Linked DNA regions of Coturnix japonica. The protein of the gene in region 3 interacts with the protein of the main gene of each other region in a pairwise test. Links are inferred from orthologs where the notes say so. Each region holds a gene or a part of one and is shown on either strand. Other genes may lie near its edges.

Region 1 (8,300 bases), on a different chromosome or scaffold from region 3:
CTGTGCGTGTTGCTTCTCCTTTAGCATCACCCTCAGTGCTCAGCACTGAGTCCACCATCCCCATGACGAGAGCTGCCCTGCGCCGCCTGCAGCAGCTCACTTCACTCCCCAGCCCTAAAGTGGCGGTGAAGAAGAGGAGGAGATCTGAGATGAGCAGCACTTCCAGCCTGGAAACACCACGCAGCCTCAACACGCGGGCGAAGCGCCAGCGGAAATCCTCCCCACTGAGCAACGGGGATGAAGCGGAGGCGCCGTGGAGCCCACACACCCCGTGTGTTAAACAGCCCCAATCCACACAGCTGCTGCCGAGCTGCACCCCCAAAATCTGCCCTCTGACCGTCACCAAAGGGCGTGCGCCCCTCAGGACATCAGCAGCCCAGAACTGCTGCACCCCGACTGTGTGCGACCTCAATGTGACCTACAGCCTCTCTGAGGACGTCTCCAAGCCGGGAGCCCTCAGCCTGCCCAGCTGGGAGAGCGCCCCATGTGCCCTAAAGAAGCAGGAGGGCCCCTTTGTGCCCAGGTTGGTGCTGTACCACTCGGACACAAACAGCATCCTTAAGAACCTGCTCCTCCTTTCCCCTTTGGGTTCAGTGCTTTACCCTCTGACCCTTCTTCCTCCCTGCAGAACCTCCATCCCGGTGTTCTCCATGAAGGGTTCCTCCATCCCGAAGCCGTCCTCCATCTCCAAAGGGTCTGTGCGGAAGCGGAGGGGAGCAGTGAGGTGAGATGGCAGCCATTTGCTGCTGTGGATGCTTCCCTGTGGGGCTGGGACCCCCTTTTTGCCTGCTGGCAGCCTGGGGTTTATATGACCATCCCCACATGTCCCCTTTTCCTTCACAGCACTGCTTCCCATTCACTGGGTGGGGTCCAGAGCTGCATCAGCTCGAGCAGCAGCTGGCGGTCTGTGCAGCCCCAGAGTATCCCAGGTGAGTCCTACAGGAGTTCCACCCATCCCTGATGCAGTTACACCAGGGGCTAAATACCCGGTGTTGGTGTGTCTGGGGCTGTTGGGATGTGCTTGTTGGGTTTGCTGCTTCCTTCCTATGGCCACATCCTTGGGAAGGGGTGTTGGGGGTCTGGGCATGGCTGTAAGGCTGGGGCTGGCAGTGGGTTTGTAGGTTTTGCCTTTTCATCCCCTTCCTCCCTTTCTCTCCTGTTTCAGAGCATCCCCCTCCTGGGCTCACCTGGAAGGGTCGGAGCGGCCCCAGAGATGGTGCCCCCAGAGCCCCCACCTCACAAGCAATGAAGCTGCTGTGCTGATGTCCCTCACATCCAGGACCCCTCACGTGGCCCCACATGCAGCTGCCAGGGAGGTAGAAGGGCGACCACCCCAAACACTGCCCTGCTGTTCCCTGGCTGGTTTCCCTGCTCCCTCCTGCCCTCCTCCCTCTGCACAGCCCCATGTATTTTGTAGCAGATGGATCACTGCTGTTCCCTCTCAGCCCCTCTCGGGGTGTCGAGTGCTGACAGATGGGCAATGCTAAGCAATACCACGCGCTTTTAATAAATCTTACAGCTTAAACCCAAAGGAGTGAGGGAAGATGTGGGGCTGCTTCTCCCCCCTCAGCCTCAGAGCGGTGCTGGGCTCCCAGGGGTGGTTTTCTATTGTCCCTTTGGGGCTTCAGAGCATTTCTCCCTCTACTGTGGGGTCCTTGGGGCCACCAGCAGAGGTGATGACTTTGCACCGAGGCCCCAAAAGCTGCATGGCTGCCTTTGCCCCACAGCCCCTGGTATGTTCTGGCCCCGTTGTCCCATGCAGCGCTCCCCATAGGGGCTGGGGTCACTGCTCTCTGCCCTACTTTGCTCTCCCCTCTGTCTTCTCTCAGGCTGGAAGCTTCTAATTAAAGCTTCTACATTCGTTTGCCTCATTAAGGCGGGGGGGGGGGCTGGCTCTGTGTCCCCGCAGTGACAGCATCTCTGCTTTGATCCCATTGCGTGGGAGCGGGGAGAAAATAAATCCTGGGAGACCACAGTGGGGGCACCCTCTGCCCCATCCCTCCACGTGGATTTGGGGAAGGGAGGGGGGTCCCAAAGGGCTCCCAGTGCAGCAGCAGAGCTGTCCCTGCCCCACTTGGGCTCTCAGCACATAGGGGTTGTGGTTTTGCAGCTCTAGAACCAAACCTGGGGCTGGGGGTGCTGAAGGACGATGCCTGATGCAGGGCTGTGAATGCGGAGGGGGGGGTGTTAAGGGGCTCCCAGTGTTCCTCCCCATTGCTCTGGGCTGGGGCCCGGCCCTTGTTCCCATGCTAGTTGGGTTTTCTCAGCTGTTGGCTGCCATCTAGCTGTCACCTATGGGCTCTGTCCCCCACCCACAGCCACTGAGCTGATCCTGGTCCATCCCCGGGCTGTCCCCATGCCCGTACCCCATTGAGCCCAGCAATGTCCCTGTGCCCGTTGCCCCCACCCTCACCCCGTGCCCATTTCCCGGCGCTGCACAAAGGGATCTCATTGCTGTGCTGGGCACACTGAGACCTTTGAGACAGCTCTGGCACCACTGGGCTGGAATGGGCTCAGGACGTTTCAGCTAATTAAAGCTGGCCTTAATTAGCAGCCTTCCTGCTCTGCCAGGTTCACCCCATAGTGCCCCATGGCATCGCACCCAGGACCTACAGTGCCCCACACACCCACGCTGCCCCATGGGCACTGTGTCCCCGCTCTGCCCCAGCTTTTACCCCCTGCTCTCTGGGCACTGCCAGCACTATTTAGCACACAGGGCTGGCTGCCAGCCCTCAGCCCCCCCCTCCCCCCCGCTGGGTGCCACAAAGCCCAGCTTTGTGCTGCGTGGCCTCCAGCCAATGCCATGGCCATAAAACCCCACCACGGCTCACATCGCACCCACCTTCACCATGGAGAGCCGCTGGTCATCCTACGGCCGCCGCTCCAGCCCCACTGTCTCATCATGGAGCCCCACAGCGCGGCCCCGTCCCCGCAGCGCTCACCCCACACCCCACACATCGAGCAGGATGGATTTCTCTATGGCCAACCTCCTCAACTCGGAGTTCAGGGAGACCCGAACCAACGAGAAGGTGGAGATGATGGAGCTGAACGACCGCTTCGCCAGCTACATTGAGAAGGTCCGGCTGCTGGAGCAGCGCAATAAGGTGCTGGTGCTGGAGCTGAACCGGGTGCGGGAGCAGGAGCCGACCCGTCTGGCTGACGTGTACCAGGAGGAGCTGCGGGAGCTGCGGCGCCGCGTGGAGCTGCTGGGCACCGCCAAGGCCCGCGCCGAGGTGCAGAGGGACGGCCTGGCTGAGGAGCTGGGGAGCCTGCGGGACAAGTATGGGGGGGTCCTGCAATGGGGGATTGGGGGGTGGGGATTGAGGTGGCCAACAGGACAAGGATGGGGACCAGTTTGGTGGTGGGGAACAGAGCGGTGATGAGGATTGAGGAGGTGGTGGGGATTAAGGCAGACACTGTAACCAGGGGGGATAACGATGGGGACTGGGGTGGCCAATGGGACCAGGATGGGGACCTGCGTGGTGATGGGTGATGGGATGAGCAGCAGGGCCGGAGTGGAAACAGGGAGCAGGGTGGCCACAAGGATCATGGTGGATGACAGGGACTGGATCAAGGTTGAGAATGGGGACCAAGGTGTTAATGGGGATTTAGGTGGTACTGGGGATCAGAGTGGCCACCACAACCAGGATGAGGACCAGGATGGTGATGAGGACCGGTGTGCCCACCATGACAATAGTGATCCCAGGGACAAAGTTGTCTACTGGAACAAGTATTGGGGAGCCCAGCAGCACTAACAAGGTCATCAGGACCAGGATAATAACTAGGGTAGTGATGGGGACCAAAGCAGCCAGCAGAACTAAGAAATGGCTACTGGGATGGTATAAGTGCAGTGGGGTTGCACTAGGGGGGTCTGTCTATGGGGCTGAGCTGCACGTGGCCACCATGAGTAATGAGGCACTGTGCCTAACGAGTAATGGCACCTAATAAGTAATGCGTCACTGCTCTGTTGAAGGCTGCAGCAGGAGGTCACCCTGCGGCTGGAGGCTGAGAGCACCCTGGCTGCATACCGGCAGGTGAGGGTAGGGGATGGGATGGGGAGTGGGGGCCAGTCCTCCTCTCCTGGGCTCTGTGGACAGGGCTGGAATGGGATGGGATGGGATGGAGGGATGGGCAGGGATGGGGGCACAGACCCCCATGCCCACCCTGGGTACGATCCCTCCATGTCACCTGGTGGCAGGATGTTGATGCTGCTGCCCTGGCTCGCCTCGACCTGGAGCGTCGCGTGGGGACCCTGCAGGACGAGGTGGCCTTCCTGCAGAAGGTGCACGAGGAGGTAACGCTGCTGTGATGTGGGGCTCTGGGGGTGGATCCCATGGCTGTGCTGACCCCGCTTCCCTGCAGGAGCTGCGGGAGCTGCAGGAGCAGCTGGCCCAGCACCGGGTGCACGTGGAGGTGGACGCCAGCAAGCCAGACCTGACGGCAGCGCTGCGTGACATCCGCACTCAGTACGAGTCCATCACCGTCACTAACCTGCAGGAGGCCGAGGAGTGGTACAAATCCAAGGTGCGGGTGGCACCTTGTCCCCATATATCACCCCCATGGGTTGGGCTGGCTGCTCCTGTGGCTGGGTGGCTCTATGGGGCAGTGGCACTGGAGAGCTGACCCTACGGTGCGTCCCTTCCAGTTTGCAGACCTGACGGATGCAGCTGCCCGCCATGCAGAGGCCCTGCGTGCGGCCAAGCATGAGGCCAACGAGTACCGGCGGCAGCTCCAGGCCCTCACCTGTGACCTGGAGGCTCTGCGGGGCTCGGTAGGTGCCACCCATGGGGCATGAGGTGGGACGCATCCTTGGGTCGTGCCACCATGGGTGGGTGCCCATGGAGGGAGGTGGCATCGAGGGCATCACATCCCACAATGGTCACCAGAACGAGTCCCTGGAGCGGCAGCTGCGGGAGCTGGAGGAGCGCTACGCGCTGGAGACGTCCGCCTACCAGGACACAGTGGGGCGGCTGGAGGAGGACATCCGCGGCCTGAAGGAGGAGATGGCCCGGCAGCTGCGGGAGTACCAGGAGCTGATGAACGTCAAGCTGGCCCTGGACATTGAGATTGCGACCTACAGGAAGCTGCTGGAGGGCGAGGAGAGCAGGTGATGGACCCCCCTGTCCTGAACTATCTCGGGGCCTTTTTGGTGCTGCTGGGTCTGGTGAGCACCCTGCAGCCCTCCTGCTCACACATGGGGACCCAGTGCTCTCCCCAACGTTCCCATTGCTCCCGCAGGATCACCGTCCCTGTGCAGAGCTTCTCCAACCTGCAGATCCGAGGTGAGGCTGCGGCTGTGTGGGATGGGGGCAGGGGGGGCTGCCAGGTCTCTGTGCCTGAAGGGTCCCCCACAGTCCCAAGATATAGAGGGGATGAGCACGATGCCATGGCCACGTCCCCAGTGCCGACCATTCCCCAAGGGTCAACCCTGTTGCTGAGGCCAATGATGTCTCTAAGGCCAACCTCAACAATGAGGGTAATTGTGTTCTGAGTGCCAACTGTGCGCCCATCACCAGCTGTGTCCCCAGTACTGCCCTCATACTCAGTGTTGACCACAGCTCAGTGCCCACCATTCCCCCAAGCACGATGCTGTCCCTAAGGCCAACCACATCTCAAAGCAACCCATGTCACCAAGGCCAACACCACTGATGAAGCCAATCATATCCCCAGTGCCAACTGTGTCCCCAAGACCAGCCACATTCTGAAGCCAGACACATCCTCAGTGCCACCTTCATACCTAAGGTCACAACCCAGTCTCCAGCCACAAGGTCCCCAACCACAACCCAGTGCCAGCATTCCTCCTGAGGCCTATAGCGTTCACTCCCACAGATCAGGATTTTCCAGCCCAACTAGTTCCTTTTGGGACCCTTCAAGGTGTATGGGGTGGAGGGGTCATATATGGGGCACTGGGTCACCAACCTGTCCCATCCATGTCTCCTAGAAACAAGCCTGGACACCAAATCTGTGTCAGAAGCTCATTTGAAGAGAAGCATTGTGGTCAAAACAGTGGAGACAAGAGATGGAGAGGTGGGAAGTCTTCAACTGCGCCTTCCACACCCTTTCCCCTCCATCCTCAAGGTGTCCCCAAGGGGGGATGTTTGTCATGTGCACGGGCTCTGTCCCCAGACATGTTTAGATGGACTTGATGGGGTGACAGTCCCTCTCCTTCTGCTTCCAGGTGATCAAGGAGTCCAAGCAGGAGCACAAGGAGGTGGTGTAGAGTGTGTGATTCATAGCCACGCTTGTAGCTGTAGCTCCATAGATCCCACCCGATGCTGCGATGGAGCCCTGTGGTGGGGCCACAGCCACAGGAGAAACCCACCCTCACCTCTCCCACCACCCCATGCCCCAGGGACTCCTGTGCTGGTCTGGCCAGGGCTGAGATCTGGGGGCATTGCTCCACACTTCCCACCTTGCTGGTGCAGGAGACCACCTTGAGCATCCCAACCATGTCCTGAGCATCCCTGGGAGGGCTGGGGGGAACACAGCACCGCATGGTCAGGGATGTTTTCCTGTTGCCAAGCAGCAGTTGGGCTTAGCCAAGGCAGGAGGAAGAGGAGGATGGAGCATATGGGGAGGCAGGTCGATGTTGGGATGGGGAGAAGGGTGATGGTGTGGGGTCTGAGCAGGGTGCCTGGGGGTACAGAGTGGTTGTGGGGCTGGAGCAGCAATGGGCACAGCAGGGTGGGAGTCTTTGTTGGCTTTTCCAGGGCACGGTGCCATGGGACTGTTCTGACCCTAATGGTGTGTCCCCCACCACGGTGCTCCTATCTCCAGAGATGCAGAGACAGTCAGGGGGCTCATGGCCCGAGCCCAGCTCTGCACAGGCATTCTCGAGGGGCTGGAAGAAATCTTGTCCCTCAGCTCCACGTGGCCCTGTCTCCTGTGCTCTCTCCCAGTGCATGTCACCCACCTGGGGCCCCTGCAGACCCAATACTCACTTTGTTTTAGCCACTGACCATGAGCTAAACGTGCCCTGCTGCCACCTAATGCAGCAGCACCCACTCACCAGCAATCCCCTTGCCCTATAACGTGAGCCCATAGGTTGCTACATGGGTACTGCCTCCTCACCCTGCTTATCTCCACATCCTCTAGCTCAGCACAGAGCTTTGCAGCTCCTAATTCCACAGGGACTGTTCCCAGGGCAGGATGTGTTATAGAGTGATAGTGCTGCGGGTCACTTTGTCCCCCATGAGCTGGATGGAGCTTTGCAGCCCTTATTGCTACTGGATTAATGCCCTAATGTTGCAACAACACGAGATGCGAAATAAAGCCTAACACAAGTGCTATGTCTGTGGTTGTGACTGTAACCTGCAGGACAAGCTGCAGGGCGGTGTGTTTTTGGGATCAGCCGGGGCAGAGCTGATCAGAGCATACCCCCAGCTGGAAGGGGGACGTGGATCAGAGCCCAGCTCCTGGCTCTGCACAGCTCCACCCAAACCTGTACCCAAACCCTATGTCTCAGAGTGGTGTCCCAATGCTCCTTGAGCTCCAGCCCACCACGTTGTGGTGCAGAAAGAAAATAAAAATGCATAAACTCAGCTTCTTAAAAATGAGATTGCTCCAGCTGAGGATCTTGCACAAACATTGAGTGTCTTGAAATGTTGGTGCCCTTTGGGGCACAGTTGGCACCAGGAATAGGAGGGTCCTTGTCACTGCTGTTGGCCTTAGTGGGCAGCTTTGGGCTGCAGTTGGCCTTGAGGAACACATTTGGCACTGGGGATATGACTGGCACTTTTTAAAAGGTAAGGGAAGCCAGAATTAATTGGAGTAGAACAGTCTGGAGGATTACAGTGGCCTCTTAGAAAAACAGCCCTAATAAATCACCGACATGGCAGAAGAACTCCATGGTGTTTAGCCAGAAAACACTGCAACGACTCCAGCTATTCATTCAAACAGGATTACTGAGGTTAAAACCCCACCACAAGCCTTCAGTGTGGCCAGGAAGTGACACAGTGGTGGCAAATCCCTGCCACAGCGCAATGGGACTTTCCACTTTGGTCTTCATCACAGCACAACCCCGAGTGGAGGATAAGAGGGCACGAGCAGCATTTCTAGTGGTGAAAACCATAAATTGCCCATAAGGGAATGGTGCAAGGTGTAAGACTGATGCTATGTCCTCGCTGAGGACCGCAGCATCCGCCAGCAGCAGCGGCTCAAGTGGATGCTGAAGAAGATGGCCCCAATGAGGATGTAGCTCACACTGATGGCCTTGAGGATGTAGATGGTCTCGGGGTCAGTAAGCTTGCGGCGGCTCTTGGACTCGTAGCTGACGGTGAGCCGCAGTCCGGCCACCAGTT
Region 2 (8,180 bases), on a different chromosome or scaffold from region 3:
TAATAATAGCATGCAACTGGGCGGCACAAGTCATAATCAGAACACTTCCCCAGTGATGAAAGACCCACCGGTTTCATATCGTTCATCTGACATTAAAATACAGTACTGCAGAAAGACGTGGTTAGTCTTGAGTATGTAATGTACTCATTTCCTTGTAAAAATCAGTGGATACTCATAGACATTTGCTGTATTTTGTAACAATGACAACTACCATAGACAATGCAATTTGAAAAATAACTTTCATAAGAGAATTTTCAATTCAATTCCTGAGATCATAAATTCGAGTTATTCAGAAAAGGGGGCTTACAGGCCTGGACACACACTTAGGTGTTAGTAAATCTGGGGGTTCACAAACCCACAGCAGCTTCTCTCAAGGTTCTTGGGGATCAGAAGAAGCAGCTTTTCCTGAGGTGCTCTCAGCACAATGTACAGAGCTGCACCAGGCTGCGGGGAACACCGTCTTTCCTCTGGGCTCAGCTACACCCAGCACCCAGCCAGAGGGAAGGACTGCCCCAGCAGAACGGTTACAACAGAATTTATAACTATTTATTCGGAAACGAGAACCTGGGGCCTTTCTGCTTTCAAAACCAGAGAAGCCCGAGACTTCTCAAACGACAACTGAAGGAGGAAGTGCTCTTTTCAACAGAAGTTAAGGCGTTCAGTCAAGCAGCAGCCCCAGCACTTGTGTGTCTGAATATTATGGAGATTCCCTATTCAGCTGCTGCAGGACATTAACCCTCTTTCATATTCTCCTGTTGAAAAAGTCCCTCTTGCACAGAGAGCGTTCAATATTCATGGACCTGGGGGAAGTGTGAAGGAAAGCCTCTGTAGGCCGATGCCTTCCAGTCCTTGCTCCCTAAAGGACTCTGGGTTGCTTTATCAAACCGACAACAAAGGGAACTGCATTTGCATGGCAGGATGTTTTGGCTGGATGTCTTAGGCTTATGGGTCATTATATACTTTCAGGGGGGAAAAAAATAATCATTTCACACTTCAAAGCAGAACCCTCACTAAAAGTCTTTCCAGACTATTACAGGGATATTTTCATTCTTAGTGTAGCAGATTTTCAGTACATAGCAGTATATCTGTATCCTCTTGGCTGCAGCCATCAGCTCCCCTCTGCCCTCCCTCCTCAGCTCTCTGTGATTCCTGCAGCTATGGGAATCTGCAGAGATTCAGACTTTCCTGACAAGAACTGCAGAGATCTTTCACAGAGGCCAATTCACATTCCCCTTTGGGCTTGAGATGCAAATATGGGCTACATTCATTGCAGGTGTATAAGAAACTTCATTTCCACACCTGTGTAAGAGCCCACCAGCAGAAGGTACAGAGGGGTTTATTGCAGTCCTTATAACTGACTATCTTTGTATTGTTAGGGAAATTTCACAGAGAAACAGCAATGAGGCAGATGGCCAAGAGCACATATGGCACCAGTGACACAAACATATGAAAATTATATCCAAAACAAGAGGGAAAGAGGTCCTGTTTCTTTACCAGAACAAACACCTCCCTGAATTTCAGGGGCAGAGCACTGTCGGAGTGAAGGATGGCAGTTGCCATAAGGGTTTTGTGGAGCATAAACAAGCTGTGGGTCATTAAGAGAAGCAGATGGAGCCAAGTGCACCTTAGCAGCCCAGCAATCTGTGACAGCTCCCGGTGAGCTGAGTGCAGCATCTTCCCTTGGGAGCCGCTTGCTGCCTCCCTCTGAGCTTTTTGCCTGTGTTCCTTTACTTCTTATCGCCATCAGAACCAAACTACAGCACAGAAAGGAACACAGGCACTGAGCAGCCAACCAAAAATCTCCCACTACAACTTTAATTAAATATTAGGGCTCTGATTCTTCCCATAAGGTACAACACCTGAAGGGCAATAGCCAACCCTACTGTGAGCTGGGGTACAGACATCACTTCACTCCCTGCCCGCTGCTCATGTTTAGGTTTATCAGAACTCCCAACATAGACATTGCTTCTGCAGGGCTGCAAGTTAGAAAAACTAAATCCAGTGGTAGCATTACACCCCATAAGTGCAGATAGCTTTGCATTGTGTCAGTCACTTTTAGAGCAAGGAGGAGAATGGTGTCACCAATCAGATGCATCAGTGTGGGATAGTTCCCTAGGAGAACGTGCCTCGGGCTTTGGGCAGCCCAGCTTTACGTTCCCTAAAGGACAGGGATCTCACCACCTCCCTTACACCACTCCGCACTCACGCTTAAAATGGTCTTGGGGAATTCTTTTACTGCTGCTCCGGTTTTTCCCATCCAATCTTACGCCAACACTATTGGTTCTCCTGTCTCACTTGGCAGCCCGACTGCGATAGTGCAGTTGCAGTAGAAGCATGAGGCATGTCCTGCCTTTGAGGCTCTTTGGGGATCACTTCTAACGAGCTTTTTGTAAGAGCTCTTTATTGAAACAATGACCGTGTGCCTACAGAAACTAAAAGCAAACAGACCCTTGGTTAAACCGCTCCAAGTGACCAGGAGCCCAGCGCCCGAAGGCAGAGCGGTGTCCCTGCTGCAGCCGTGGCAGTGCGGCAGCGCCCGTCCGCAATGGGCGCAGCTCCGCCGGCATCAATGAGGGCGGGCCCCCGGGAGCCGCTGAGCCCTGAGCACGGGACGGGAGGCTGCGGGTGCCGTCGGAAGCAGCTAACCCCAAACCTATCGACGGTTCGTGTTTCTGTCTGCCCGCTTTGGATGTCTGGGAGCCCTTAGTGAATAGCGAGCATCGCTCCCCCGATCCCGGAGACTTTCAGCAAGATACGGAGAAAGGGACGGGGCTCGCACAAAGTTGCACAGACGCATTTTTAAGCGCTCGGCCCGTGCTGGGAGCGCTGTCGGAGCACCGCAGCCCGTCCTGCCCTCGGAATCACTGCGCTGTCGGAGGGGCGTAGGGCCCCAAGGAACCTCGGCAACCGCCCCGTGTCCCGCCGCCTTTGTCCCCGAGCTGTAACCACGGACCCCTTCCCCCCCAGCCCCTCCCCGCTCGGACGCGGCCATTGGAGACGGACGGGGCGGGGCGGGGCGGCGGCGCCCCATAAGAGGGGCCCCGAGTTGGGGCCACCGCCCTTCTTCGCCCGCCGCGCTCCGAGCCCCGCTCCGCTCCCGGATTACAAAGCCGCTCCGTTCCTTGCCGCCATGAGCTTCACCAGCAGCAAGAACTCCTCGTACCGCCGCATGTTCGGCGGGGGCAGCCGGCCCAGCAGCGGCACCCGTTACATCACGTCCACCACCCGCTATTCCCTGGGCAGCGCCCTCCGGCCCAGCAGCGCCCGCTACGTGTCCGCCTCGCCCGGCGGCGTGTACGCCACCAAGGCGACGTCGGTGCGGCTGCGGAGCAGCATGCCGCCCATGAGGATGCACGACGCCGTGGATTTCACCCTGGCCGACGCCATCAACTCGGAGTTCAGGGAGACCCGAACCAACGAGAAGGTGGAGCTGCAGGAGCTCAACGACCGCTTCGCCAGCTACATCGAGAAGGTGCGTTTCCTGGAGCAGCAGAACAAGATCCTGCTGGCCGAGCTGGAGCAGCTCAAGGGCAAAGGCACGTCCCGTCTGGGCGACCTGTACGAGGAGGAGATGCGGGAGCTGCGGCGGCAGGTGGACCAGCTGACCAACGACAAGGCCCGAGTCGAGGTGGAGCGCGACAACCTGGCCGACGACATCATGCGCCTGCGGGAGAAGTGAGTGCGGGGCCGGGGCTGGGCGCGGGGCGGGCACCCACCCTCACATCCCTCACCTCCCTCCCTCACGTCGGCCGTGTGTCGCTGCTTGCAGGTTGCAGGAGGAGATGCTGCAGCGGGAGGAGGCCGAGAGCACCCTGCAGTCCTTCCGACAGGTGGGCGCGGCCGCCGCGGGGCGCTGGGGGCGGAGGGTCGGGGCTGGGGCTGGGGGCTGGCGATGCGGGCTGGCTCTGCCCGCACAAAAGGCGCTCGGCGCAGCCCCTTGGTCTCCCCGTTGTTTTCTTTAGGGGGGTGCCGCAGTCCGGAGGGGAGGGTGAGGCTATTGTCCCACTTTATCCCGGTCTGGCCGGCTCCACAAAAGCGCTCCGACGTGGAATCGCTTTCTGATCCAATAGTTGTGAAAAGGCGCAGCCATCTGCGCGCCGGGCTGAAGGGTATTAATGGTTTCTATGGGATTCACCGAGGAATGCAGATCCAGGCATTATGGCCGGTGTGGTGGCAGCAGATTGAAATAATGGATCCCTTTGTGTTGGAGGGGAGGCTGCCGTGGGCTGCATTCCTACCGAATGTGTAATGGTGGGGGCACGTTCCTGGGGGAGACTCTGTAAAATACTGAACTCGGTTCTGGATGAGCCGCATCACTTTGCACACTCAGGAAACTGTCCCAGATTTGAAGTATTTCCTATCAGTGGTGTCTGCTGATCAGAAGCAGACAATGGGTTCCTCGGGATGAGCTCACAGCAGCTGTCTGTATCCCCTTGATGTGCATTAAGAATGTAGAATTCAATCCCTTATAAGCAAAGATGTTAATGTAAGATACAGTGCACCGGAGTTTGGTCTGTAGGAAGCTGCGGTGTCACACAGCTGAACCAAAGCCGATGTGACAGCCAGAACCAACTGTGAAGCCTGCGGAAAGTTCTGAGCTTAAGTTTTGATTTGTGCAAAACCAGCTCTTGGCGTGGATTGAGGGCTGGTTGGACGAGCAGAACTTTAGGAATGTGCCTTCTCAAAACAACAGAACTTCCTGAAAACTGCTGGGGTGAAAAAACACTGCTATCACTCCTCTGAGCTGGAAGCAGCTGCCCTGTATCTCCAGACAGCTGGGCGCAGGCTGACCATCTTAGAGCTCTGCATAGGCAATAGTAGGTGTCACCATGTAGGAAGCTGTCATTTGGTTTTTAGCATTTCCCTGGTGGTCTTAGTGGGGCAGTGTGGGAGCAGACACATGGCAGGGGCTGGGAATGAGGTGTCCACTGACATTGTGGGGGCTGAAGCTTGAAATAGCAGTTCCAGGTATTGCCTTTAACCCAGGCTGCTGTGTTACTAGGGCTGAGCCCATCCAAGTAGTTGCCAAGTCAGTGCAGATGCATTTCCCCTTTTTGTTTCAAATTACTAGAGTTCAAGCACAAGCTCCTTTGACTTAAAGCTAGTTCAATCATGCGTGCTTCTCTGGTGCACTTCAAGGCACGTCTTCCTCTCCCTCCAAGCAACACAGCTTTGTAAAGGCTGCGGGCTATTATGTGAGCTGTGCTGTGCGTGCCTCACATTCATTGTCTGCTTCCCTGCCCTGTCACTCAGCCTCCAGCTGCTCTGCCCATGCACTGAGCCCATGTAACCACTCAGCTTTACATGTAAAAACTGCAGATCATTGTCTGAGTTGATCAGTGGCACAAATAGTGCATGCTGCTGGGTTTGGTTTGAACAAAAGTATACCCAGTTTTTCCCTGCCACAACAGAGTAGTTCTAACGTGCAGATTTAGAAGAGAAAGTACGCTTGAGAGTTACTGAATTTTTTCCTCTAAACAAGAGATGCCACATTACTTTCCACGTATACTGCGGGGTGTTCTACATCAAATAAGCCTAGGGATTTGGTGACTGCTTTGTGCAACAAAAGAGGCATCATAATTAATGAGGAAGTTATGTACCGCAGCTTTGTCAGATGCTCTGACAGCAGGGAACAGATCTGAGCCCATGACAAGGCACACAGGTCAGCTCCTGGCTAACAAGGGCTTTCCTGAAATAAATGAGGATGTTCAGCCATTAAAGACTCTCTTCAGATAAAATCAATATGTAGTCAGTCCAATTACTCATATGTGTGACTGAAACCTTGTTTGCTCAGGCTATTAATACCTTTTTCATCTACATGGCTCTAAAGTGTGCAGAGTAAATGCACTTAGCGGAAATACAGTGAAATGCACATTACGTACTGAACAAGCCTCCAGTTTAAGATGCTTTCTGCATATTAGAGGTTGCTATAACTTCTGTAGCTCTTTGAATCTGGGAAAAAAATAATCCCTTTTAGTATTGAGGCTTGTGCAAAATCCACTGGCAAGTGTTTGGATTTCTCAGTAGTCATGTAAACATGTTAGGTCATAGTTGTGTAATTTCCTTCTAGAATGGTCTTGGAGTTTGGGAGGAGAACAAATGCGTTAAGGAATTCATTTTTTTTTCTGAACTGGAAAACAGAGCCAAGATGAACTGTGGTGTGCAACTGGAGTTGATAAGAAACTTTCGTAACACATCAAAGGGGCTTTCTGCTGCATATTGAATGCTGGAGAATTCTTCTGGTGCAAAAAACTTAATCCCGGGATAGGAGTAAACCAAAGGATGGCGTCCTGATAGTCTAAAGAAAACTTTTCCTGTTTCAGAGGTGTTGTAATAGTGAGTGCTGCTGATGAGTAATGTTTATGTTCTGGACAAAATACAGACTGGCTGTAATGCAAGTTGTGAAAACAGGATGCTTATATTAATACCATAGGAACAAAACTGGGCAGCCAATGTGAAAGGATGTCTTCCCTTTATAAAGTGCTTTACTCGTGTCTTTAAAATGTAAGAAGTTACTGATCCATGGTTAATTTTCAGTTATTTTTTGAACAAATTAACACTGTTTCCATGTAACATTCGTGGCATATCATCTCTTGTGCCTTAAATGAATTTTTGCTGTTGATTAAGACTATCTCTGTCCAGCAAAGGGTGGAGTATTTGCCAGCTAATGCGAGGGTGTAGGCAGCAGTGACTGACTCCATTTGTGTTTATGCTCATACCTTTTCCTCCAGGGACATCTGTCAAACTGCTTGGGGTAGTCTGTGGTCCTTACACACACATCCCTACATTTAACAGAGTGCCTTCAAGTTGTGATCTGCGGAGCCAAGGGACTCTGGTGTGTCACTGAGGAGTCCATAGGAGATGAACAAAATGTTCATCCACCATGATGTGTGTCAGCAGTAACATAGCAAAGATGACATCTTCATATGCTGCATAGTCCACAAAGTTGTGATAAAGCAGCATATAGTGATCTCTGAGGCTGGGGCTGGAAGGAGCAAAAATAAGATTACTAATTGTTCTCTTCTCTCTGATCAGGATGTTGACAATGCTTCTCTGGCGCGCCTTGATCTTGAGCGCAAAGTTGAGTCCCTGCAAGAAGAAATTGTCTTCTTGAAGAAGCTTCATGATGAGGTAAGCTGAATAATGAGGTCTGTGTCTGGGCACTGTCAGTCAAGTGAACAACTAAACTCTCTGGCTCTGGCCCCGAGTCCTAACCTATGCATTTTCTGTATAGTGTTGTTTATTAACACTGTCTCCTTCTCTCTAAGGAAATCCGGGAACTGCAGGCTCAACTCCAGGAACAGCACATCCAAATCGATATGGATGTTTCTAAGCCTGATCTTACTGCTGCCCTGCGTGATGTTCGTCAACAATATGAAAGTGTTGCTGCTAAGAATCTTCAGGAAGCTGAAGAGTGGTACAAGTCCAAAGTAAGTAAAATGTGTTGTAGGATTATACAGATGTAGCGGGCATTCAAATGAATTTTAGGTAACAGTTTTGCTGTAGCACTCAGTGTTCCTTCTGTACTGAATGCTAGCACAGCCGCAGAGTAGGGTAGTCTTTAAACTTATTGATCTGGGAAGAATACAGTTGGAAAAATTACTTGTGCCCTAAGTGCAGCATCAAACTAATGGGCTCGTTTCCTGTTCTTCCCTATTCTTGGAGCTGGAGGCAGTTCTTAAGTATATACTTAGGAAAGGAATGAATAAATGCATGAAAGGATCTGAAACATAACAATCAGGAATAGAGAAGTTCAGTGTAATGTTCACGTTTAAATATTTCATGTGCTAGAACATCCCTGTAATGGCTTCAGTTGCTTCCAAATCCTGGGTCTAGAAGTAGCCTGTTACACCATTTTAATGAGGAGTTATGCTAACCAAACTGGGTGTTTCTACAGTTTGCAGATCTCTCCGAAGCTGCTAATAGGAACAATGATGCCCTGCGCCAGGCCAAACAAGAAGCTAATGAATACCGCAGACAGATTCAGTCTCTCACCTGTGAAGTTGATGCCCTTAAAGGAAGTGTAAGTAGATGATGTTCTTCCTGATGCAGCTTTTTAAGCACTGTGCTGTAGTTCAGTGGATGGACGTGGCTGCAGCTGATCTCCCGTACAAGGCAGCAGTGTACCCATCCTTCCTGAAAAAGACTCATTGGGCTCCATTTGTCTGCATGTACTGTGT
Region 3 (7,558 bases):
TAAGATGTAATATGTTTCTGAATGGCAATAATAATACCAGTATTTTTAAGAATAGGCTGTCCCAAAATATTTTGATGTCAGTACAAGTAGAAAGTCTTATGGTATGGCATATACATAAACAGTAATGTCACTAAATAACCTTAAAATATACATTCACTGGGATCAAGGAGGAATGGAAAGGCCAAAGGGGCACTGACTTAGTGCACTGAGAGCAAATGCATTCTGCCCTACAGTTTAAAGAGCATTTAAACAATCAAAGAGACTACAACAGATTTGTTCAATAGAGAATATCAGCAGTGTAACAGCAAGAGCTGTATATTATATATCTGAAAGCTAAAGGAATTCTTTGCATAGCAACAGTGTGAGAATTGAGTAAGTTCTTGCATGCTAGGAAATTTAGGCTTGGTCCAGAAATAACAAAACTCCAAGGGAAATGGCCTGCCTGCTGAGCTGCAGTTGAGCCATTGGATACAAAATCCCTACTTACAGAAACAAATGCTTAAAAAAAAAACAATCCCACAACTGCAGAAATAAACTGGTGCTCTGAATGCTCTGGAAAATCACATTACACTGATTGCCAGTTCTTCTTGATATCTAACAGCTAACTCCTTTACCGTATGTATTATAGTCAAAGATAATTGTATTGTTGATGGAGAACATGCAAAATTCATCCCTCAGCAACATCTTAAGGTACATAAAAGTCTATCACTAACACTGTAAAGATGAAACATTTAGGAATGATGTACAGAAACTTAAAAGCACATTTTTTTTTCCCTCTACTCTTTCTGTCTCTATCAGAAGCCATGAGCCAACCCAGTTTGTGAGCACTGGGGGTGCTCAAAATACTGCTGTTCTGTATTTGTAGGCATGGTCCAACTAAGTCAGTGTCTCTGCCCCTCCATGTTCCTCCCTAAGAGTTTAAAGAAAGATAATGGCTCCATCTCCAAGTATAGTGGAGAACAATCCCTTCCATCAGCTAAGCACCAGCCAGCTAATTCCTAGTGATATCCCCTAGCTCTGACAGCTTGTAAATATGTCAGTGGGCAGCTGACTTTTTGTGTGTGAGGTTGTTGATTCAACCATCCTTTCTATTACTCCATTTAAGGTTTTTACACTTTGAAAATTTCTTGCTGCATTCAGCATTAACATCCACAACCATGCTGTAGCAAGAGTCTATACTCGTTCAGAGCACAGGTAAGAACAACCTCTATCTGCATTAAGACTTTACCATAAAATCATAAGTGTTATTAAAGTTAGAAAAGGTCATCTAGTCCAATCATCAGCCAATCACCACCATGCCCACTAACCATGTATTTCAGTGCCACATTCACATATCTCTTGAACACCTCCAGGGCCAGTGACTCCGCCACTTACCCAGGTAGATGGCATACAAATGGCATATGGAAAAATAACAAAATATTATTTTAAAAAATAACTTGGAAAACTATCAGCTTCCATAGGTGACACCAGTATTAAAGGAAGGTCAATGCTTACATCAATAGTTCTTTTTTGAGTGTGCCTGTGTGAAGACATAGATCCTCCCTTGCCTGAGAGTTTCTAAGAGATCATATGGGGGACCTTCTTCCTACAGCAAACACATGCAATAAAGACAGTGCTATGGTTTAGTAATCACTGCTCTGGGAGCAAAATAAAAACTTGCCACAGTACGTAGGCCCTGTCATGGGTATGGCTGAAGAGAATATTTAAACAGCCACAGTGGCAAGTTTCTAAAATCAGTATATCCAGCAAACCACCTACAGACAAAAACCACCAGTTTTGATACTTTCAGGCATCAGAACCTATGTCTGTAATTAGGTGGACACAGAAAAAGTTGACAAAATGAAGTTGTCCTTGACCTATTAGTTTATTTCAAAAATCTTCCGTTCATTAAACTTACATACATAAGGGAATGTTGTAGGTATTTGATCCTTTCTCTGTTATTCAACAATGTGATTATGTTAAAAGCGATCAAAGAAAGTTAAGTGTGCAAAAGAAACACATCCATTGACTAACTGAGGGAAACTGTTCTGTACTGTTATGTTCTTGAAACAAAACTGTACCACCATTTTTCAAAACAAAGATGCATAACATTACCATGAAGGTAATTGAAATAAGCTTGACTGCAGTCAGTATTGACTGAAATTAAGGACCATAATTTTACCATTCTCTCATATCACCATTTTGTCAGCTACACACATTTAAAGTTGCCTGACTACTTAGGCATTTAAATGGTCAATTTAAGGTATTTTGGTATGCTAGTTTTCATAGTTAGAAGAATCTTAAATAATGTTTCAAATTCACTGTAAATCATCTGTAATCTTTCTAGTTCTAAGGACTTTAATGGAGTGAAATTTCTAAATTAGGGCAAAGAGACAAATTGATATTACTCTTCATTTTTCACTCAAACATTGTTTTTTTTTATCTCTGTCCAAATTGTATGAATTTTCTTCAATGTCTTCTGTCTTTTCTAGTAATAACTTTGTAATAAAATCTGAACTGTTTTTCATTAATTGTTGATCTGTTTGAAGTCTTCATATATATATACTAACACACATAAAGTGCCAGAAAGTTAAGACGGGCCAAATTAGTCTGAGCATGTTTTTGCCATGCAGGCAGCCATGATTCTTCATGTAATTTTGGATGTATGACACTACTGCCTGCTCAATCCAACACTGGCATGCCTGAAGAGTTATTGATCCTACAATAGTGGGTACATTGCTCGGAACATATGGCTGGCTGCGTTTTTACTCTGCAAAAAAGTAGTTGCGTAAAGAAGAATAGGCCCTAAAAAGAAGAAAAAAGGTGAGGGTTCTCAGCATGACTGGGATAAGACAACATATCACTAACAAATTAAGCACAACTAATTTTCCATATATTGCCAAACATACAATTCACTAGGACAAAAGCCTACACTCTCTCTGAATTCCTTTTTACATTCACATATGAAGACGCACATGTTAATGGAGCTTGGGATGATTTTTGAAACTCCTTTGAACACACTGTTTCTCCAGAAGAAGAAAAAAACTTGCAAGACAAGATTAGGCTAATGTTGAAGAAGGGCCTCTTTACTCCTTTTAACCTAGACATGCTGTTTAAAGGTACCATTTATCATCATTACTACCCTGCGCATCCAGCAACAGCCTAGGAGAGGGTGCAGAAAATTCCAGGATGTAGGACTTCATCTTTTCAGCAAGAGTCTGGTCAGTATCCGTACTTCTTTCACACTGTGGGGAGGAACAAGCCAGGCTCTGTATACATCATTGTGATGGCCCAAAATACTGAGTCAGGCGATGGCAATAACACTTCCGATACCACTTGTCGAGGATTTCTGGCACTACTGTGATGAGATCTCTATACAGTACTTCCATACTAGATGCAGGTGTTGCTAGAATGCAAGTAAACTTCATTACTGACTGTCAGAAGTCAGTCAAGGAGCAGCATGCTGCTAGCAAGCGGCTCAGGCACTCTAGTCTAGGAGGAGAGTAAAAAAGGCATGCGTCTGTAGCACTGGGATCAACAGTCCTTGTTCTCCTGCCTTGAGTGAAAGTAAACAAGTCCATTGTTCTCTGACTTTGCCAAACCTCAAAATATAATGCTAGAAGGAAAAATAAGTTTTACAGAATTGAGCACATTCAACCCTTTTTTTCCCTTCATAAATTGTATGTTACACTGGTTGGAAGTGCTGAACTGTTTACAGTATGCTATATATATAATGGCACGCTTAAAGACTTTTAAAGAGATCAGAACATTTCAGGAATGTTTCTGGTGTTGAAAAAGGCTAATGTACTACAAATCATATAATATTTTAATTCAGAAAAAATATGTTTAGGTATTTTGACCTAGTATTATAAGGATTAGGAAACTGAACAAGGATGCCATGAAGCATGACTGACAAATCAGTCGAGCTAGTCTGCTTCAGATACATATTGTGCAAGGCATAATCGCTGCAATTAGAGTCACAAAAATGCATATTTAGATTTTGTACATTAAATACTACACCTGTGAACCTATGTAAAAGATATACAAAATATAAATGTCATCAGGACTGTATATTTCAAAATTTTTAAAATAAACACAAAGTAAATATATATATATATGTTGGCATATTGTTGTAATTTCAATGTCAACGCTAGCACAGTTTGTCTCTTCTAAATACAGACCTGTATACTTCCTAGTCCAACACATGCACCTACAAACACATGATCATGCATACAGCTTTATGTTCTGCTGTTTGCAGAAGAGTCAGAATATACAGCACTATACATTGTTTCAACTCAAAATTGATTGGCAAATTAAGACAGATGCCACTCAAAATAAATTCTCTGTGAGCTAGTACCAAAAAACAAAAGAAAGAAAGAAAAGGAGAAAACCAGGGGTATCATTGTTTCCTCTCAATAAAAACACTGAAGACCATGATGATGACCTAAGATTCAAACCATTTCGTCCAGCATGTGATGGAGTCGTTCTTGAACAAGATAGGACGGTGTAGATCTGGTTGCTACCACACATACTGAACAGAGTTAAAATGAGGTGCAGAGCTTTCACAACACCATCCGACCCGTTTCTGGGTTCAAACTACTGAGGTCTCTGACCGAAAGGAAACAGAGCAGTTGTATGCTGTCCTTCTCACAGCTGGAGGTGCTGATGGTGATCTGGATGCCCATCTGGAAGGCAGGCGTCTATTTGCTGGTCGGGCTGGCCGTGAGAAACCCTTCCCATTTGAACATTTAGCTGGCACAGATATCTAGAACACAAAAGCAATCATCCTTGATTTAATGAGTTACAGGAGAAAAGTCCTTCAGAGAATGCACTGGGAATCTAGGAAGACATTCAGGGTGGCCACAGAGCAGGTGGTCTGATGCTATTAAAAGGAACAAAGTAATGTGCAGAATGCAAAAGAACAGGCATTTCTATGTATAGGGATTCTCACTTCAGTTGCAGTTTAAAATATGCAGAGACAAGTGTCAGACACAAGGAAAGGGACAAAATGTTAATGCAAGTTAAAACTGAACACTCATTTTTCATTTCCCTTCATTTTTGGAAGTCTTGTGAATGAGCTCTCAGCACCTTAGAGTATGATCTATGTACTTTCTAGGTAATTTTTGATAGCTTCCATTTCAGAAGACACATTTTGCTAAGAGCTCTCTTTCTGTTAGCACAGCACAAAGCTGTTTACAGTTGGTAAATAATTCAGAATGATTATTTATTAATGCGGTGCCGTGCCTGCATGCTGAGCCTTATATGTACAGGAAAAACAACAGACCTTGATCTTAGCTACAGTACTATAAATCTGAAATAATGAAGATAAACCTCCATGTTTCATGCCAGGTGTAGTTTTTCACATCTTTGTGACATGAAAGCTGCTGAATGAAACCCCCTAACCAGGCAGTATTCTGCACTTAATTTATACAACATAAATAACAACACAGAATGTGAATCTATGGAGAAAATAATCCAGCTGTCTTAGTAAAGTTATTCTGGGCTTGCATCAATGCAAATTCAGTCATTCTCTCCTCATTATTTCCTCCTTACATATTTATTGATGAAATTCCATTTTCTTATCAAACTTACACTGGATGAGAAAGAAATCAAAGGCTTCATGTGTTTTCCTCTGTGCTGTAACGAAGATGTTTCTGCTAAGCAAGAGGTTGCATCACTGCAAGGCTGACATAAAATCATGCAGAAGAAAATCTACATGCTCAGATTCTCAGCTGTTTAAATCCACATACCTCCACTGAAGTCTGTGAATGTGTGACAGTGTAAGGCACACCAGATGACAATCTGAATCCATCTAAGTTCCTCAGCTCTAAACACTTGCCTTCTCATTTCTGAGACAGTGAAGGACACACTCATTTGTGTCCTTAGGGCAAGGAGCTCTTCAGGAAAACAGATTTTTCCTTCTCTGAGGCCTTTTACAAAATCTGTAGCTTACAGTATACTTAAAAAACAAACAAACATCTGTTTCTATTTTCATTAAGAAAGAATGTTGGCAGAGGCAGTACTTCTAAACTTTTGCAAATACAGTTCAGCCAAATATAAATTAATTAGTTATGCCATACTCTTCTACGCTTGTGAGCCTATGCTTGAACTGATAGGACAAGCCTGGAGATGTGAGTAAATGGATGTCACGTCATTCCTGGAAGCTCTAAGAAAAATACAGAACCCATTTTCATGGGTAGTACCAAGGAAATCCTGAACCAAGAAGCAACCAGGACTCTGAAGAATGCTGCCTCAGCCCTTGAGGATTTTGATACGGCAGAGTGGTCTTAAGTCATTTGAGAAGGCTTATGAAACAAGTATCCAGCTAAAGGAATAAGGGAGGGAATATCTGATTGTAATTTTCACTAGTTCAAACCCCAAACTACCGTTAACATCTAGTTTTATGTAGCAGGAGCAAAGGCTACACTCTGGCACATAACTTTGCTAGTCATGCCTACTTACAGATTTCTGCCCTCTCACAACTCTGTTATCTTTAAAGGAAATCATTCTAATTCACCTAGATCCTGGCCTAAGTTATCAATTTTTATGTTTTTTTTTTTTTATATTATCATGATTGTCTGCCTCACTTTAAAATCTGAAGCCAAGTATAAAACTGAATTATTTTGTTCTTGCCATTCTTCTGAACCTTACCTCTGGTAACTTCTGTCTCTCCCTTCCTTGCTTCAGTTGCTGCCCAATATGCCTGCCTGAATTCCTCAGAAATTCTTGCTTTCCTTGCTCAGACGGAAGCATTTCTAAATACTGATTCCGTGTCTCACAACCTCCATCAGTGGATTCAGAGTTTGCCCGTGTCCACTTATCTTTGCAGTATTTTGCATTACATGGAGAAATCACTGCAGATTTTTCATAGTTTTTCAAAAGCTTTTCAACAACACCATAGTTTGATCTTGAGTCAGCCGAACGCGGGCGACCGGATAGATTACTCGGTCTCCAGTCATGCTCATGAAGCATGTGCCTGTAACCACTGGTATTTGGAAGTCCATTTATTTGCTTTTGTTGCCCTCCTGTTCTGACAACTTTGCTAGGGTTGCTAGTTTCTTGTTCTTTTGCTGCAGAAAGTTTGGGATTTGAAACACAAGATGAATCTACAGTTTCTGTCCTGCTAATAGCAGAGTCACACGGTGGGCTGCAGGGTTTGTGATCTTCTAATGCTGTCCGAGTCACCTGGTTTTCTTGCAAAGTAGTGTTACGTTTATCTGTGTGAAATACAGTCCGGTTAAACTCATCAATCTTCGCTGCTAAAGTTTCATTTCTCTGAGCCTTTCCCAAAGCACAACTGGAGTCTCCCAAAAGATCAATGTGCAGGGCAGCAGCGGCATAAAAGTCATTGCAGTAATAAGGACTGAAGTGAGACTTGGAACTTTGTTTCTGGTGCATTCTGTTACTATGGGCCATATTTCCATCTGAACAACTCTTCTGGGCTGACAGTGGGGAAGGCTCATTTTTACTGTCTTTTCCAACATCATATGCCCATGTGTTGTGGCAGAAACTTGGTGCAACGCACTCATTTTTGGTTACAGGTATTGCAGCAGTTACTATTACAGGACCTTTCCCAGTC
Region 4 (6,935 bases), on a different chromosome or scaffold from region 3:
CCTGCTGAGGGGATGGCAAAGGGTTGGTTTGGCCCCATTGGCTGGGAACAGTGCCCTGACCGGGGGTCTCTTGGGTGCTTTAAGGATCCCACCTTGGTAGCCTCATTCCCCCATGGCAGACCCAAGGGAGTGGTGATGGTTGTTCCCTCACCCCATCTGGGGCTGTGAATCTGCACTCTGTCCCATGGCCGGGCATTGCTGCTGCCTCAGTTAAGCATCATCCAGGGCTGGGTTGTTTTCTCATGCTGAAGCTTCTGGTCGGTTCACAGCCCCCCAGCTGCATCTCTGAAGGGGAAGCATGCAAAACAGCTCAGAGAACTGAGACTGCTTCCCCAGCTGCTGGCAGCGGGACTGGAACAGTCCCAACAGCACAGACCCTCCTGATCCCCTCTGTGCTTCTCCCACTGCACCCTGATGGTGCTGAGCATCGCTGAGTCCCACTGCCTGAGCTGGAGGAACTGTGATGCATTTGGAAAGCAGAAGGAAGCCCCTTTGCTCCCTTGTGACCCTGGTTTGGGTATGACGGCGGCGGCACTTTGTGCTCTCAGCCATCCCAGCTCATCACAGCTGTGTTTCACCCTCCAGGCAAGCGACAAGAGGAAGGCTCTGGAGGAGACGATGGCTTTCAGCACACAGTCCTTGGCCAGTGTGGCTTATCAGGTCAGCAGCCTGGCCACCACCTTCCTGCAGCTGCTGGACCTGCAGGCAGCCGAGCTGCAAAAGCTGGAGGCCAATGTCAGCTGTGTAGCCCAGGTGGGTCTGACCTCAGCCACTGCCATGGGTCTGTACTGCTGTGGGGTTTCAGCCCTGAGAAAGGAGCAGCTTACAGGGACTGGAGACCAACTTTTCTTGTGGTTTTAATGGCCTGTCAGCCCCTGCAGCACCTTGGTCACCCAAGAAGCTAAAGGACAAGACTACCGAGGGGTGGGAAACTGTTCTTAAGGGCTTGTCTTAGTCTGGGTGTTTGGGGACCATGGCAGCCTCTGGGGAAGCCCCCAAGGAGCTACCCTGCAGCAGTCACATAGGCTCAGATGCTGTTATCTCCCCTCGGTGGACACTGGCCTCGTCCCCTTGGAGAACTAGGGACAATGACTCAGAGCCCTGCAGCCACTCACTTTCTTCCTGATATTTGAGGGCTCCTTAGAGCCTTTCCTGCTGCCTCCACAGAGCGTTGACATGCACAAGGAGAAAGTATCTCGTCGGGAGATCGGCGCTTTGACCGTCAGTAAGAGGTTCCCATCCCACCAGAAGATCACATCCCCCCCCAACCCACCCTCCCTAGAGCCCTACTACAGGAAACCCCTCAACTTCAGCATCCTGGATGACATCGGTCACGGCATAAAGGTCAGCCTGGAGGGTGTCCCGTGGGTAGATGGGGGTTTAGATGGGCTTTATGTGATCTGGTGGGGGTACAAACCCCTCCTGGATGGAGAAAGGGGGTCTGTCTATGCTTCCTCCAGGACTTGTCCCAGTGGGGCTCATCTTGGTGCAGGAGGGGAATGGGACACTGACAATGCCATAAAGGCACACAGTCCCAGAGTTGCTTGGCTAAGGCTGAGTTGCATTACACCCACAGTGCTGTTCCAGCACTGAAACTGCCCCTGTAAGCTGCCCCCTCACCGGAAGGCGTCTGTGGGTTTTCAGCAGCATCAGAGCCACGTGCACAGTGTGAAACCGCTGTGGAGTCGAAGGGGAAGTGACAGTGCTGGGGCTGCAGTTCCCACGGTGGCAATGCCAGACAGCAGCACCAATATCTGCTTCTATCAGCACCAATATCTACTTCTATTAGCTGGGGCAGCCCCTCACCACCCCCCATCCTTTTGAGAAGGGTTCAGCAAAGGCCTTTGGGGCACTATAAGGGCATGGTAGGCATGGAGTGCAATGAACTTGTCATGTGTATGTGTTTTCTTCTGCCTGCAGGATCACAGCACTCAGCTGTCCAGGACAGGCACACTGTCTCGGAAAGGGATGAAGATAACCACACAGTCTGCAGGCACCATGGGGTGAGGCTTCTGGGATGGTGTAGAGTAGGGAATCTTTAGCTTGGGTGTCACTGAGCAGGGACAGAGCCATGGGGTGCACTGCCCAATGCAGCTGCCCTCTGTGTCCTGTCAGCATGGGCTCAGTGCCTGCTCTGTTGGCAGGAGGAGCACTCGTGTCCCTGAGCCCATCCAGCCCCCCGTGGTTCCCGAGGGAAAGCTCTCTGCAGCTTCATCTGCTTCCTCACTGACATCAATCAGGTACCAGCCTGGGCCAGGGGGGTGTCTGGAATAACCAGGGAGAGGGGGATCAGTGGGAATAGGGCAGCTGTGGTTACCCCACTGCATCTATTTGCAGAGAGGTTTTGATAAGCAATATTGTATTGGAGAGCAGGAAATTCACTGTGTGTATCTAGAGCAAAATAACAGAGATGGTTCCCAAGGGGGAAACTAAGGCACAGGATGGGGAAATGGCTTTGCACACAGATGCTGGGGTGCCTGCCCGTGGTGACAGCACTGGGTGTCACCCTGTTCTAGCATAGAGCAGACACCCATGTTCAAAGATGGGAGGGCTGAGACATGCCTCCCCACACACACATACACCCCTTTTACCTGACTCTGAATCCCCAGCTCAAGTGGAGGAGCCCCTGGGGAAGGCATCCCAGCACCACCCCCACTCCCACCCCTCCCGGGACCACCACCCACCCCAGCTGCAGCCACCATCCCACCCCCTCCACCTCTCCCTGGGGATCTGCTCCCACCACCACCACCACCAGGGGACCTGGATGTGCCCCCACCAGACTTCAGCCTTCCAGGTGAGTGCTGCGGTGTCTGGGGGGTGCTCATTTCAAACACAAATGCTGTGCTCTGCTCTGTATGGAGCCGCTTGACTCTCACTGAATTTGTTCTACAGTCTCCAATGACCCAGAGTCACCGCTGCCACCACCACCACCACTGCCCAACTTTGAGGATTTCACCCCACCACCACCACCACCAGCTGCAGAGGAACCCTCATGTGTCCCTGAGAGCTACTTGGATAAAGGTACAGCAGCTCCAGGGTCAGATCTGCTGAGATCCACCAGATTCTTTGGCCCTGGATGTGGTCACAGCACTGAGGATGTGACTGCCCCACTACAGGGCAGTGCAGAGGCTCAGCCCTTCCCTCCTGCCCATCTCAGCTGTCCCCACTCTTCTCCATGGCGTCTCTCCCCTTCTTTGCACAGTGCTGACCATCTACCCGTACACACGACAGAAGGACAATGAGCTCTCCTTCGAGCCTGGTGCCCTCATCTATGTCACACGGAGGTACTCTGATGGATGGTGTGAAGGCATCATGGGCGAGGAAGCAGGTTTCTTCCCTGGCAATTATGTAGAGCCCTTCTGAGCACCAGCAGCTCCCCGACCCCTCATCGCCCACCCAGCTCAGCTGTGTCCAGGAGGTGAGGGCTCCACTTTGCCTTTGACTTCTGGCTTTGCACAGCTCAGCCCCTTTTTGCTGCAGCCATGACATGACCCCATGCCACATGCTGCTGCCTGCACCCCACACATCCCCCTGCCTGCTCCCTGCACCTCATCCCACCCTTTGTCATTTTTTTTAATGACACCAGCAATTGATGATGATGATGATGATGCTGTGAAGGTTTAGCACTGAGGCAACTCCCTGGCCCTCAAGCTGTTGGAAATGGGGGGGTGGGAAGCAAGCTCTGAAATCCCTTGGGCTGGCCCTGGTGCTGCTCTTAGACCCCTAGGATTGACAGCAGAGTAGGACCAAAGCTCAGAAATCATAAGCACGAAGAGGAGAGCAGCTCTGGGGCAAGGAACTGCTCCCAGCTGCTTGAGAGGAGGGTGAGCCAGGTCTAAGTCCTGTACCAAAGGGGCTCCTGTAGGTCAGGCCCAACCTGCAGAGCACTGCTCATAACCCAATCCCACTCTGCTGCTCCCCTGGTCAGCTCCCAAGGCTGCCTTCCTCCTCCTGCAGCCTGAGGAAAAGAAACACCACGTGTGTGCACTTCAGAGCCATCTCACTTTCAGGTTTATGTTCTGGATACAAATAACTTGTGTATCTGTAATATATATATATCTATATACATATATATGTATATATATATATTTAATTCCATGGCTTTAAGTTCCACACAGTTAAACAGTGTCCAGAAGAGGAAGAACGAAGGAAAAAAATGAAATAAAGGAGGATCATCTCAGGGCTACTTTGGTTATTTCCTTACTGCTCTGATTTGTTACCAGGGTTCCTATGCTTTGGAGTAGTTACAAGCCACTCTCAGGGGTCATTTAAGGCTGTGGATAAATCCAGGAAGAGCCAACACCAGAGAGCAAAATACTGCAAGCCCCCCTCTATAGAGTGCAATTAGAATGGGCAGTTAACACTGTGGTGGGGTGAGAGGGTTTGGCCTCTGGGGAGCTGATACCAGAAGTGCTATAGTACCTCTATCTGCAGCTGGGGGGGGGGGTGGAATTTCAGCACCTCTGAACCAGGGCAGGCAGTCACAGGGCAGTCAATGCAACCCAGCAAAGATATGAACAGTCTGCACTGGGGATGAATTGGGGGGCTGCTGCCCCAAGAGGGGAAGCAATGGGGGAGGAAAAGGAAGGTGAAATCAGGTCTTCTTCCTCAAGCAGGATGTGGCCATTCAGCCTCCCCCCCAAAATAAAATGGGGTGAGGGCAATGGGAGCTAAAGGATGTTGCTTTGTATTACTTCAAGGTGTACCAACCTTCCAAAAGGTTTCCTTGATTTCTCATGACTTTTTTGTTGTTGTTTTTGTTCAGAAAATAAAGTCTGAAGGGATGATAAACTCCTTTGTGAGGCTCATCTGCTGAGCAAGGAATGGGGTGCATGGTGAGCTGGGGAACCTGGGCAACATAAACTGCCCAGATTGAATTTCTTGTGGCTTCCTGGAGAGGCAAGGAGCCCTTGGAGCATTGGGTTGAAGGCAACAGCATGCAGCTCCTGCATGGAGAGTGGAGATGGGCAGGTGAATTGGGTCAAGAGGAAGCACGTGCAGGGCTCAGCCTGCAGGAGAACTGGCTTCTGGATATTAAAGAACTGCTCTTGAGAAGTCATAAAGGAAAAAAACAACCCATACCATTAGTGTTGCCAACCACCAACAGCAGAGAAGCCATCTAAGCTGCATAGAGAGGACTTCATCTCAGTGTGGCAGAGGGAAGAGAAAGGGATGTGGGGGGAGAGAAAGTGCTTCAATCACTGGGGAGAGAGCTTAGAAGGCAGGAAAGCAGTCCAGGAATCAAAGTCCAAGTGAGCAGTGCCAAATAAACATGGGGTGCAGGACGTGACCTCCCAGCCTTCTCCCTTCCCAGCTGCTTATCATAAACAAGCCTCTTTGGAGCCATCCATCCTCAGCACTTCTTCTTGAGGAGCTCCTGCAGATAGCGGGCGACCTCAGTAGCTGACTCCCAGGGAACAACGGTGGCTTGGAAGGTTCCAGGCTGCTTCTTCTCCATCTCCTGGGTCATCTGGTGCATGGGGTAACCCTTCCGGGGGAAAGCAACGTCAGCTGAAGTCAAAGTCACTGAAGGGCAGAAGTCATTGGCACCATCCCCAACATAAAATACCCTCTCGAACTCCACCTCTTCCTGCGCCCTCTCGGCCAGGTACTCCGTTAGGATTTTGCGCTTGCACATATTGGCTGGGCAGTCAAGGCACTTGTGGCTGTGGTAGGGCCCCAAGGTGAAGTAACCCCTCTTGTCAAAGCTGGATGGGTTGCTGAAGATTTTACGGAAGAGGGAGTAAAAACCGGCCGCCCTCAGTTTGCTTTCAATACCAAACATGTTGGCGTCGGAGATGAGGATGATCTCAAAGAGCTCGTGGTTCTTGGAGAGGAACTGGAAGAGGTCAGACATGCCTGGAGACAGGGGAATGTTCTCATAGACGGCCTTGAAGTCCCCCATCTTGACGCCCTGGTCCCCCATGTAGGCCAGGACACGTTGCATGTACTCATTGTAGAAGCCTTCACGGAAGCTCTGTCGGATGTGCTCAGGCAATGCCTGCCCTGGTGCTGCCCGCACGATGGAGTCATCACTGTTCTCATTGATGATGGTCTCATCAAAATCAAAGACCAGGAGGTACTTGGGAGGCCGGGAGCTGGCCATACCAACACCCTGCGGGGGGGAGAAGAGCATCCACAGTGAGCTGAGCACTTGGCTTTGGAGCCAAAGGCAACAAACACAAGAGGCTGCCAGCGTTGCAATGCAGCGTTTCTCTGCCAAATTATCCCTGCCCACGTTTTGCCATGCAGCTCATTAACCCAGCTGGGGGGGCTTGGGGCTAATCCCCTGCTGACATACCTCAGCCCTGACCCTGGAGTGTTTATCCTTCTTATAAAGAGATCACTTTGCCACTGCTAATCCCTGTACTGCAGTCAAGGTGGTCAGTGTGCCAAGGACTGACACACGTCCTCCCAAGGGACATGGGGACAGCGTTGGTGTGTTTCCATGGGTCTTGGGGAAGGGGCATACAGACTTTGCTCCCCATCCCACTCATATCACACCCATGCAAAAGAATTTGTGTCCATGGAAACAAACCCCTCTTGCTGTCATCCTTGCAAGGACAAGAATGACTTTTCCTTGGAAAAGAAAAGACTTTGCAGGTTAATTTTGGTGCTGTCACCTGGATGTGGTTTCCCTTTGGGTTGGGCTCAGAGCTGGGGTCTGCCCTTCTCCCCAAAGTAAAACCACATTGCTGACAACACATAGAGCTGGACAGCTTCAGCCCAAGCCCAGTGCCAAACCCAGCAGCCCCCGCTCACCACCTGCCACCAATCAGACATGCAAGACAGGGACCTCACTTCTGCTCCCTGACCCTGAGAAGAGACAGAGAGATGAAAACATAGAGAATCACACTGACCTTAAACAGGCATGGCAGCCCAACACCCTCACAGCACCTTTTCATTTTAAGACCATCACTCTCCAAGCACCACTT

Evidence for each region.
Region 1: the proteins of KIAA0408 (region 3) and GFAP interact in binary tests that used the Homo sapiens proteins (3 or more experiments, as listed by UniProt). The link is inferred for Coturnix japonica from reciprocal best matches to the Homo sapiens genes KIAA0408 and GFAP.
Region 2: the proteins of KIAA0408 (region 3) and VIM interact in binary tests that used the Homo sapiens proteins (3 or more experiments, as listed by UniProt). The link is inferred for Coturnix japonica from reciprocal best matches to the Homo sapiens genes KIAA0408 and VIM.
Region 4: the proteins of KIAA0408 (region 3) and ABI3 interact in binary tests that used the Homo sapiens proteins (3 or more experiments, as listed by UniProt). The two-hybrid records come from large-scale screens. The link is inferred for Coturnix japonica from reciprocal best matches to the Homo sapiens genes KIAA0408 and ABI3.

The regions. Positions count from the first base shown.
Region 1 is NC_029542.1:785,088-793,387, reverse strand, and holds GFAP (glial fibrillary acidic protein), read left to right. Parts: upstream 1-2,817; 5' UTR 2,818-2,849; coding exon 2,850-3,280; intron 3,281-3,973; coding exon 3,974-4,034; intron 4,035-4,198; coding exon 4,199-4,294; intron 4,295-4,362; coding exon 4,363-4,524; intron 4,525-4,645; coding exon 4,646-4,771; intron 4,772-4,886; coding exon 4,887-5,107; intron 5,108-5,238; coding exon 5,239-5,282; intron 5,283-5,941; coding exon 5,942-6,027; intron 6,028-6,178; coding exon 6,179-6,220; 3' UTR 6,221-7,289; downstream 7,290-8,300. Other genes in the region: kinesin-like protein KIF18B, read left to right, coding at 25-523, 629-724, 844-929, 1,166-1,263; Ig-like V-type domain-containing protein FAM187A, read right to left, coding at 8,113-8,300.
Region 2 is NC_029517.1:18,028,317-18,036,496, reverse strand, and holds the start of VIM (vimentin), read left to right. Parts: upstream 1-3,048; 5' UTR 3,049-3,130; coding exon 3,131-3,675; intron 3,676-3,731; exon of another isoform or gene 3,732-3,752; intron 3,753-3,769; coding exon 3,770-3,830; intron 3,831-7,035; coding exon 7,036-7,131; intron 7,132-7,268; coding exon 7,269-7,430; intron 7,431-7,897; coding exon 7,898-8,023; intron 8,024-8,180. UniProt on the Homo sapiens protein: Vimentins are class-III intermediate filaments found in various non-epithelial cells, especially mesenchymal cells. Vimentin is attached to the nucleus, endoplasmic reticulum, and mitochondria, either laterally or terminally.
Region 3 is NC_029518.1:53,663,395-53,670,952, reverse strand, and holds part of KIAA0408 (uncharacterized protein KIAA0408 homolog), read right to left. Parts: coding exon 6,631-7,558; intron 4,745-6,630; coding exon 4,571-4,744; 3' UTR 1-4,570.
Region 4 is NC_029542.1:2,999,289-3,006,223, reverse strand, and holds the end of ABI3 (ABI gene family member 3), read left to right. Parts: intron 1-585; coding exon 586-753; intron 754-1,167; coding exon 1,168-1,344; intron 1,345-1,920; coding exon 1,921-2,003; intron 2,004-2,144; coding exon 2,145-2,240; intron 2,241-2,609; coding exon 2,610-2,794; intron 2,795-2,892; coding exon 2,893-3,021; intron 3,022-3,202; coding exon 3,203-3,363; 3' UTR 3,364-4,791; downstream 4,792-6,935. Other genes in the region: PHOSPHO1 (phosphoethanolamine/phosphocholine phosphatase), read right to left, coding at 5,354-6,115. UniProt on the Homo sapiens protein: May inhibit tumor metastasis. In vitro, reduces cell motility.